2 linked regions of the Macaca fascicularis genome follow. The protein of the gene in region 1 purifies or fractionates together with the protein of each later gene. This does not show direct contact. Links are inferred from orthologs where the notes say so. Each region holds a gene or a part of one and is shown in the gene's direction. Other genes may lie near its edges.

Region 1 (3,745 bases):
ACCGCTCCCAGGAATGACAGTGCTAACCGGCTCTCCTGACCTCAGGAAGGCAGGCTCTTACCACCCTTCTCACCCTTGTCAGCAGGGCTGCCCCTTCCCTCCAGGGCCCCCTGTCTGTGTGTAGGATAGCCTTTGAGGTGTCTCATCTGTGTCCTGTTCAAGCCAGGGTGAGTCTGGGGTTTTCTTATTGCTCAGGGGACATTTCCTGACCACAGTCCCATGCCATTTGTTATACCCGGGCACAGGAGTGTAGAGGTGCATGAGACACAGCCCCTGACTCCTCAGCTTGCAGCTGAACAAAGGACACAGCGCAGAGCAGAGGGCGACTGTGGGACGACAGTCCAGCAGGGGAAGCGGCGAATTCCGTGCACACATGTTGAGCTTGAAATGTCTGGGTAGAAAGAGAGAATGTCTGGGAAGCAGCTGGTCCGGGGGTTCCTGTTCAGAAGGCAGGCCTGAGCTAGCGCTTTGAAAGCTGTCATGTACATGAGTCTTGATCACAGCCTTTCCTTCAAGGTGGTGATTGACCAGAATCCATTGGGGTGTTTTAAAAACATGGGTTATTCACCTTGTTCTCTTCTGAACTCCCATATATTTCTGCAAGAATGTCAGATGTCCCAGGTTTGGGAAACGAGGGCCCCAGACCCTGAAACACTGGGCATCTGTGGGGAGAAGGAGTAGAGGCCCAGGCTGGGACCTGGAGTAAGGGCCAGACAAGGTGGAGTCAAGTTGGAATCTCTGTGAAGATCTTTCTGGAACTAGGGGGACTGGAAGAAGCCAGCGGGAGCAGGGCTGTGGATGCTGAAGGACTGGAAAGTTACCCAGAGGAGGGGGAGGGCGTGGTTGACGAGGCTCAGACACGACACTGCAGCACTGGTGACCGGAGCCAGAGCGGAGCCAGGCTGCAGTGGTGGGGAGGACCAGGCAGGTCCAGATGACTTTGAAGGGACTCCAGAGGAAGGAGAGGGTGGAGGAGGAGGGCTTATGGGTTAGGGAGGGTGCTGTCGTTTGTTTTAAATGGGAGAAACTGGAGCATGTTGCCAAGGGCAGAGAGCCAGCAGAGGGGTGAATGGAAGAAGGAGCCGAGAAGGGGTTTACTGACGAAGCCGTATCCTGGAGGAGAGAAGGATGGACTCCAGAGCCCAGCTTTGGGGACTGGCCTTGAATAAAAGGAGGGCCGCCCTACCTCACCCTGGAGGGAGCACGGTAAGGGAGAGGGCATGAAAGCAACGAAGATAGTAGCTGCCGAAAACGGGGTATGTTTCATTATAGCTAAAAAAGGAGATGAGCGCTGCTTCCCCCGCATCCCCAAAAGCTTCTCATCCTAGCAGCTTGTGTTAGAGGAGGTGGAGGTGCAGGCTCAAGGCCGCGTGCAGGGTGAGTCAGATGGGAGGTACCCACCCGGGCATTCTGTGGCATTCCCAAAAGTGACTGGTGATACTCAACTGGTATTGACAAGCTTGAACATAGGAAGAGGAGGATATTGTAGGGCTGCTCACTAGCTCCGAAAACAGTCTTCACTTGAGGAAATTATCCTGGGCTCTGACTGTGGGTCATTGACTATCTTGGTAAACCCAGGGGTCTTGGACTATGTTTTTAAAACCTGTAAGTACACAGCCAGGCTTCCTCCTAAGTATGACTGTCTTAAGATGTTTGAAATGTAGTGCCATGACTGAAAACAGTTTAGCAACTGTTCAGGAAAAAAAATTAAATGCCTCTTGATTAATCACCCAATTGATATGTTTAGTGAAGTACTTTAAGTGGAAATGAAGTTGGATAGATAGTTTCATTTTTAACACAACGGACGTTTGTGTAGCTTTTTAGGAGCCAAGGGGGATCATGGCTAAAACTGTAGTCCTTATAATCCCTGGCAGCTCGTTAGACCTCGGATTACGCTGGCCATGACCTTCCGGTGTGGGCTGAGCGCTCAGTGCCTGGCCTCTGGCCTGTCCTGCTTTCTTGGTAACCCCAGGATGCGTTTCCCATTGGGTACATGTCCAGCACACAAGCCTTACTTGGTTCATTTTGTACTAAGATGGTTGGTGGGTTTTGTGAGCTTTTGTGTTGTTTGATGTGCAGCCTCAAACCAACATGGGGCAGGGGCACTGCTCCCCTGTGTGCAGGAGGTCACTGTGGCTATCTGCTCATGTGTCGTTGTCATGATATGTGCGTTGTTGCCATGGTGGACACGCTGTAGCACAGTAAGGCCTGCAAACCAGAAATGGGCTGACTGGCTTTCAGCAGTTCTCTTGGAGAGTAGCTGCTCGGAACTCAGTGTGTCTCACCTTGGAGAGCTGTGGCTGGGTAGCCCCTGATGGCCCCGGAGGCTGGCCTCACTCATGATGCACTGCAGTTGCCATAGTGCTGTGTGTGTGACCCACCTCACATGCACTGCTCTGTGGATACCCTCTTCTGTGTCATCTTTCTTCTCGTTCTCTTTCTTTACCTCCTTCTCAGGCCTCCCTGTCCTCCCTGTGTGCTTGTTGCTTTCCCTAGTAGTTCAGCTTCTTCAAAGGACTGACAGATTTGGAGGGTTGGCCTGGCATTCTCTTCCCTATGGACCATTTCTGAGGGAAGATGTGTCTGCAGCGGTGGCAGTTCTTAGAGTCCTTCCTTGCTCTGTGGGGTTCCAGGCTATTGCTTGTCACCAGGGTGCCATTGGCATTTTGGGCTGTGCAGTTATTTGTGGGGAGATGTGCAGCGTCCCTGTCTTGCCTTGCTAAACGTCAGGATCGCTTCTCAGTTTCCTGACAGACAGGCCCTGTGGAGGACCGGTTACTGCCCCCCTTGAGAACTCGGCTGTTCACACGACTCTGTACTGTGTAGCTGTTAGGATGAGAGCTTGAACTCTGACAGCTAGCCTTCTTGGAACTGTATACTACATATGTGTGTGTAACTAATCAGGTGGTTAAGAGCTTTTAGAGGCTATTTCCGGGGTACAGCGTTTATGTGAGAAAAGGAAACAGGCTGCTTATTATTTTCTGGAATCTGGTTAGATTGTTACCGTTTTGGTAAAGGCAGTACTACTCATGAAGAGGCATACTTACGGTATACATTTTTTTTTCTATTCTGTGATATAGCTGGTTAACATTTTAGTAAAAATCCATTTGAATTCCGGAACTTGTGGGGATTGGGTGGGGAGAAAAGTGAATTTTTGCTTAGACAAGAGTGATTTTTCATTAAATCTATGTATCCTAACATGTTCAAATAAGCACTTAGATTTTAATTTACTCTCATTATACAATAGTTGGCATCTTTTCCATGTTTTCTAATCTAGCTGGGTAATTGTTCTTACTGGATGCTTGCTCTCTTTCATAGTCTGATGCGCATGTGTAGGTGAGACCTAGGAATCTTACGCCCTGACCCTGCAGAGCTGTGGTCACTACCAGCCTGATGGCTGGACAGAGAAAATAGATGAGTCCCTGGAAGACTGTGTGGTCTATAACATTACATATAAAATGACAAAGGAGTTGTGGTGCTTTGAGGGACTGAAGTTTCCCTTTTCTCTTCCTTCTCTCTACAGAACCTAAAGGCAGATCCAGAAGAGCTTTTTACAAAACTAGAGAAAATTGGGAAGGGCTCCTTTGGCGAGGTGTTCAAAGGCATTGACAATCGGACTCAGAAAGTGGTTGCCATAAAGATCATTGATCTGGAAGAAGCTGAAGATGAGATAGAGGACATTCAACAAGAAATCACAGTGCTGAGTCAGTGTGACAGTCCATATGTAACCAAATATTATGGATCC
Region 2 (3,745 bases), on another chromosome or scaffold:
AGTATGATCATTTAGCACTTGCTATTCAAGGTATCTGGTAGCTAGCAGTTGCTCATGTTACGTAACTGAATTTAGGTCCTCCCACCAGCATAGCAAAGCCAAACACTGACATTGGGGTTTGCAGTGAAAGGGAGGCATTTATTGCATCACACCAACCAAGAAGAATCAGGCAGCTCATGCTTAAGACCCCAACTCCCTGATGGTTTACAGGTAAGAGGTTTTTTGTGTGCTTTTTTTTTTTTTTTTTGAAATGGAGTTTCGCTCTTGTCACCCAGGCTGGAGTGCAATGGCGAGATCTCAGCTCACTGCAACCTCCATCTCCTGATTTCAAGTAATTCATCTGCCTCAGCCTCCTGAGTACAGGCGCCTGCCACCATGCCCAGGAAGTTTTTGTATTTTTAGTAGAGAAGGGGTTTCACAATGTTGGCAGGCTGGTCTCCAACTCCTGGCCTCGGCCTCCCAAAGTGCTGGGATTACAGGCATGAGCCCTTGCACCCAGCACAGGTAAGGGTTTTTAAAGGCAGGGAGGCAGATGTTACAGGCAAAGTCATAAATCAATACATGGAGGCTATACGTGGGTTTGATCTAAAAAGCCAGGATATCTGAAGTAGGGACCCACAGGTCATAAGTGGATTCAAAGATTTTCTGATTTGTAATTGGCTAAGGAGGCAAAGCTTTGAGAATTCTTCCAGGCTCCTCAGGAAGAAATTTAGAACAAAGATAGGTAGTTTGAGATCTCCATGATAGTGGACACCATTTTCCATTTGGTGAGGTCCAGGTTTCTGAAAAACAACTCAGGGACATATGTTGTCTCCAGTTTATATAGGGAAGCAAACATTTTGTGAATCTAACGTCCTTGGCTACTGTCTTAAGCTATTATTACCTTCTTGCTTATCAGGTTGCTCATTGACTTATTGAGGAAGTTAGGTGCCTGGAATGTCCCTTCGGGGAACTCAAGATTTTCCTTTATTTCCATGCTTGGGGAGGGTGGGGGTGGGAGTGCCTAGAAGGCCCCTAAGAGGGGTCCCTGCTGTGTCTCACTCAATAAATATTTGTTGAATGAACAAATCATTACAACTCAGTACACATTGCAGAAAACACAGCCAAGAGCGCTGGAGCTAGAAGGGCCACAGATTATCCTACAGAGCAATCATTTCACTTTTCTAATGTTGAAAGGGAGGATTCAAGATGTTAGGGCTACAGGCAAGCCTGGAAATAATTAATTTACTCCACCATTATTGAATGCCTACTATTGAGTGCTAGACTCTGGGGAGACAATGTTAAGGGAAGCCCAAGTTTTCCAATTCCCTGTTCCGAGCACTGAAAAAGCACTGCAGGAAGCTAAAGTGAGGACAAAGTTCCCGGAGATCAGGATATCTAAAGGGAGAACCAGCAGAGCTTGGTCTTGGGCAGGGTTGGGACAGGAGGGATCCTGGCCTCCTCCGACCGTTTCTCCGCCAAGCCACGCGAGGGCGCCGTTCTGCCCCTAGCGCGCCGTGTCCCGGCGGCGCCGCCGCCTGCTCGCCTTTTCCCGGCGGAAATGCCCGAGCGATGACGGAAACCCGGAGGGAGGGAAGAGAAAGAGCGAGAGAAGGGGAAAGATACCCGGGAGAGGCCGGCAGGCGTGAGGCGGGCCTGAAGCGGTAGCTGGCGGCCTTCGTCCGGCGAGAGCTAGTCCGAGGGCCCGCGCCGCCCTCCCAGCACCTCCCCGCGTCCTTCACCGACTCCTGCGGCGCGCGGCCGGGCGGGGAAGGGCGGGCGGGGGTCTCCTACAGGCCTCGCGCTCGGAGCCGCCTGCTGGGCTTGGGCGGGGCGCGGGGACCGCGGCCGCCCTCCCCGGCTCGGTCCTCCCCTTGTGGGATCTGGCGACGGCGGCTGAGGGAGAGGGGAGCGGCGCCCGGGCCGGGGCCGGGGGCGGGTGGGGAGGGGGGAGGGCAGCGGCCGGGCCGGGGGTCGGGATCCGCATCGGGATCGGGCCGCCATGGACGACAAGGCGTTCACCAAGGAGCTGGACCAGTGGGTCGAGCAGCTGAACGAGTGTAAGCAGCTGAACGAGAACCAAGTGCGGACGCTGTGCGAGAAGGTGAGGGCGCCGCGGGGGCGAGTGCGGGAGCGCGGAACTGGGACGGGCCGCAGCTTTCCTGCCCGCCCCGGCCCGTCCGCACGCTGGCCCCGGGCCCGGCGCGGCCCACCGGGGGCCCGCGGGGCTGTGGGTCCGGCTCCGGCGTCCACCCGGGCGGCCGGCCCAGCCGTTCCGGCCCCGGGGCGTTGGGCTGCCCTCGCCCGGCCCCTCTGCCTCCGCGTGGTACACGCCCCACGCCCCCGGCCCAGATCCTGGTGGTGGGAGGCTCGAGTGCGGGCGGGCGGGCGGGGAACCATAGCCCCCGGAGCCAAGCCGGAGGTTGGTCGGGGTCGCCTGCGCTCCACTGGAGTTCCTGCCACTCTGGCATTTCCCGAGTGGAATAACGAAAGCGACATCCGAAAAAGGACCATTTTCAGACCAGTTTCTGAAAATGCACCTAAAATTAACCAGAATGTCGTGCCTATTAATGAACTTGTTAATAAATGTAGAATTTTTGTCAGGTGAACGGGGCACCTCGGAAATCACTAACTCAAGCCGGGCGCGGTGGCTCACGCCTGTGGTCACAGCTACTCGGGAGGCCGAAGCGGGAGGATTGCTTGAGCCCAGGAGTTAAAGACCAGCCTGGAGCGCAGAAGTTAGAGACCAGTGAGGCCCCGTCTCCACAAAAATTTTTTTTAAAAAATTAGCAGGGCGTGAGGGCGGGTGCCTGTAATCTCAACTATTCAGGAGGCTGAGGTGGGAGGATCGCTTGAGCCCAGGAGGTGGAGGCTGGCTGCAGTGAGCCGAGATCGCGTCACTGCACTCCAGCCTGGGCGACAGAGCGAGACCTTGTCTCAAAAAAAAAAAAAAAAAAAAATCACTGACTCTTGAATGTGTCAAGCGTTTGTTTGTGGAGAGGTAGGCGTGATGGCCAACTGTGATTTTTAAAATAGAGGTTGACTTTGGTGGAAACAGATGGTGACTGGTCTTTGCGTTGAGCGGCTCTTGGAAGTAAAGCGTTGATTCAGAAACGAGAGCTGGTCTTAAGTTTGGGAACAGTGTTTGCTGGAAATAAATGGGATGTGTGTTTTCATGCACGATAACACTTTGCAGAAAGTTATTTTTGTTTTTAATATATATAAAGTTTTTTTCTTTTCCAAAGAATAATAAAACATGCAGGTGATCAATTTCGTTCTTGTACATCGTGTGTGATCTTCACTTTCTGAATTCTGTATCCATTGTTTTCTTAACTCCTGGAATTATTTCGATCTCTCCATCTTTAAAGTCTAGAGTTTTCCAAATTCATCCTTTACAAGGTGGACTAAATAATTTTCATGTATTTTTATGTTAAAAATTCTCACTTGAAGTCCATGAAGAAGTAAAGATGTTATTTTAAGATGTAATGTATACAATTTTCTTAACCATAATGTTTGGAAGTCATGACGTCGCAGAAGTAGGTGAAGAAAAGATTTTGTTAGTCTAATTTTAGGACACTCTTAAAATCATGAAATTTACTTAGGAAAGGAGCACTAATAGATGGTGTTAAGTTAAAATAGTATTTTTAACGGGTGTAATGTTGGCTGGGGCCTTTGTGTATTAAGTAACTGTTAACACAGGAGGATTTATTTTTGTATATAGAAGTGCCAAGCAGGTGGTACTTTTCTCTTTCTGAAACAAACTGCT

What was found. Proteins that work in one complex are often made in the same cells at the same time.
Region 2: the proteins of STK24 (region 1) and PPP2CB purify together in Homo sapiens (affinity purification with mass spectrometry; 5 studies listed by BioGRID and IntAct, with this or other methods). This does not show direct contact. The link is inferred for Macaca fascicularis from reciprocal best matches to the Homo sapiens genes STK24 and PPP2CB.

The regions. Positions count from the first base shown.
Region 1 is NC_088391.1:89,413,888-89,417,632, reverse strand, and holds the start of STK24 (serine/threonine-protein kinase 24), read left to right. Parts: upstream 1-906; 5' UTR 907-1,128; coding exon 1,129-1,206; intron 1,207-3,523; coding exon 3,524-3,745. UniProt on the Homo sapiens protein: Serine/threonine-protein kinase that acts on both serine and threonine residues and promotes apoptosis in response to stress stimuli and caspase activation.
Region 2 is NC_088382.1:34,024,993-34,028,737, reverse strand, and holds the start of PPP2CB (serine/threonine-protein phosphatase 2A catalytic subunit beta isoform), read left to right. Parts: upstream 1-1,571; 5' UTR 1,572-1,981; coding exon 1,982-2,083; intron 2,084-3,745.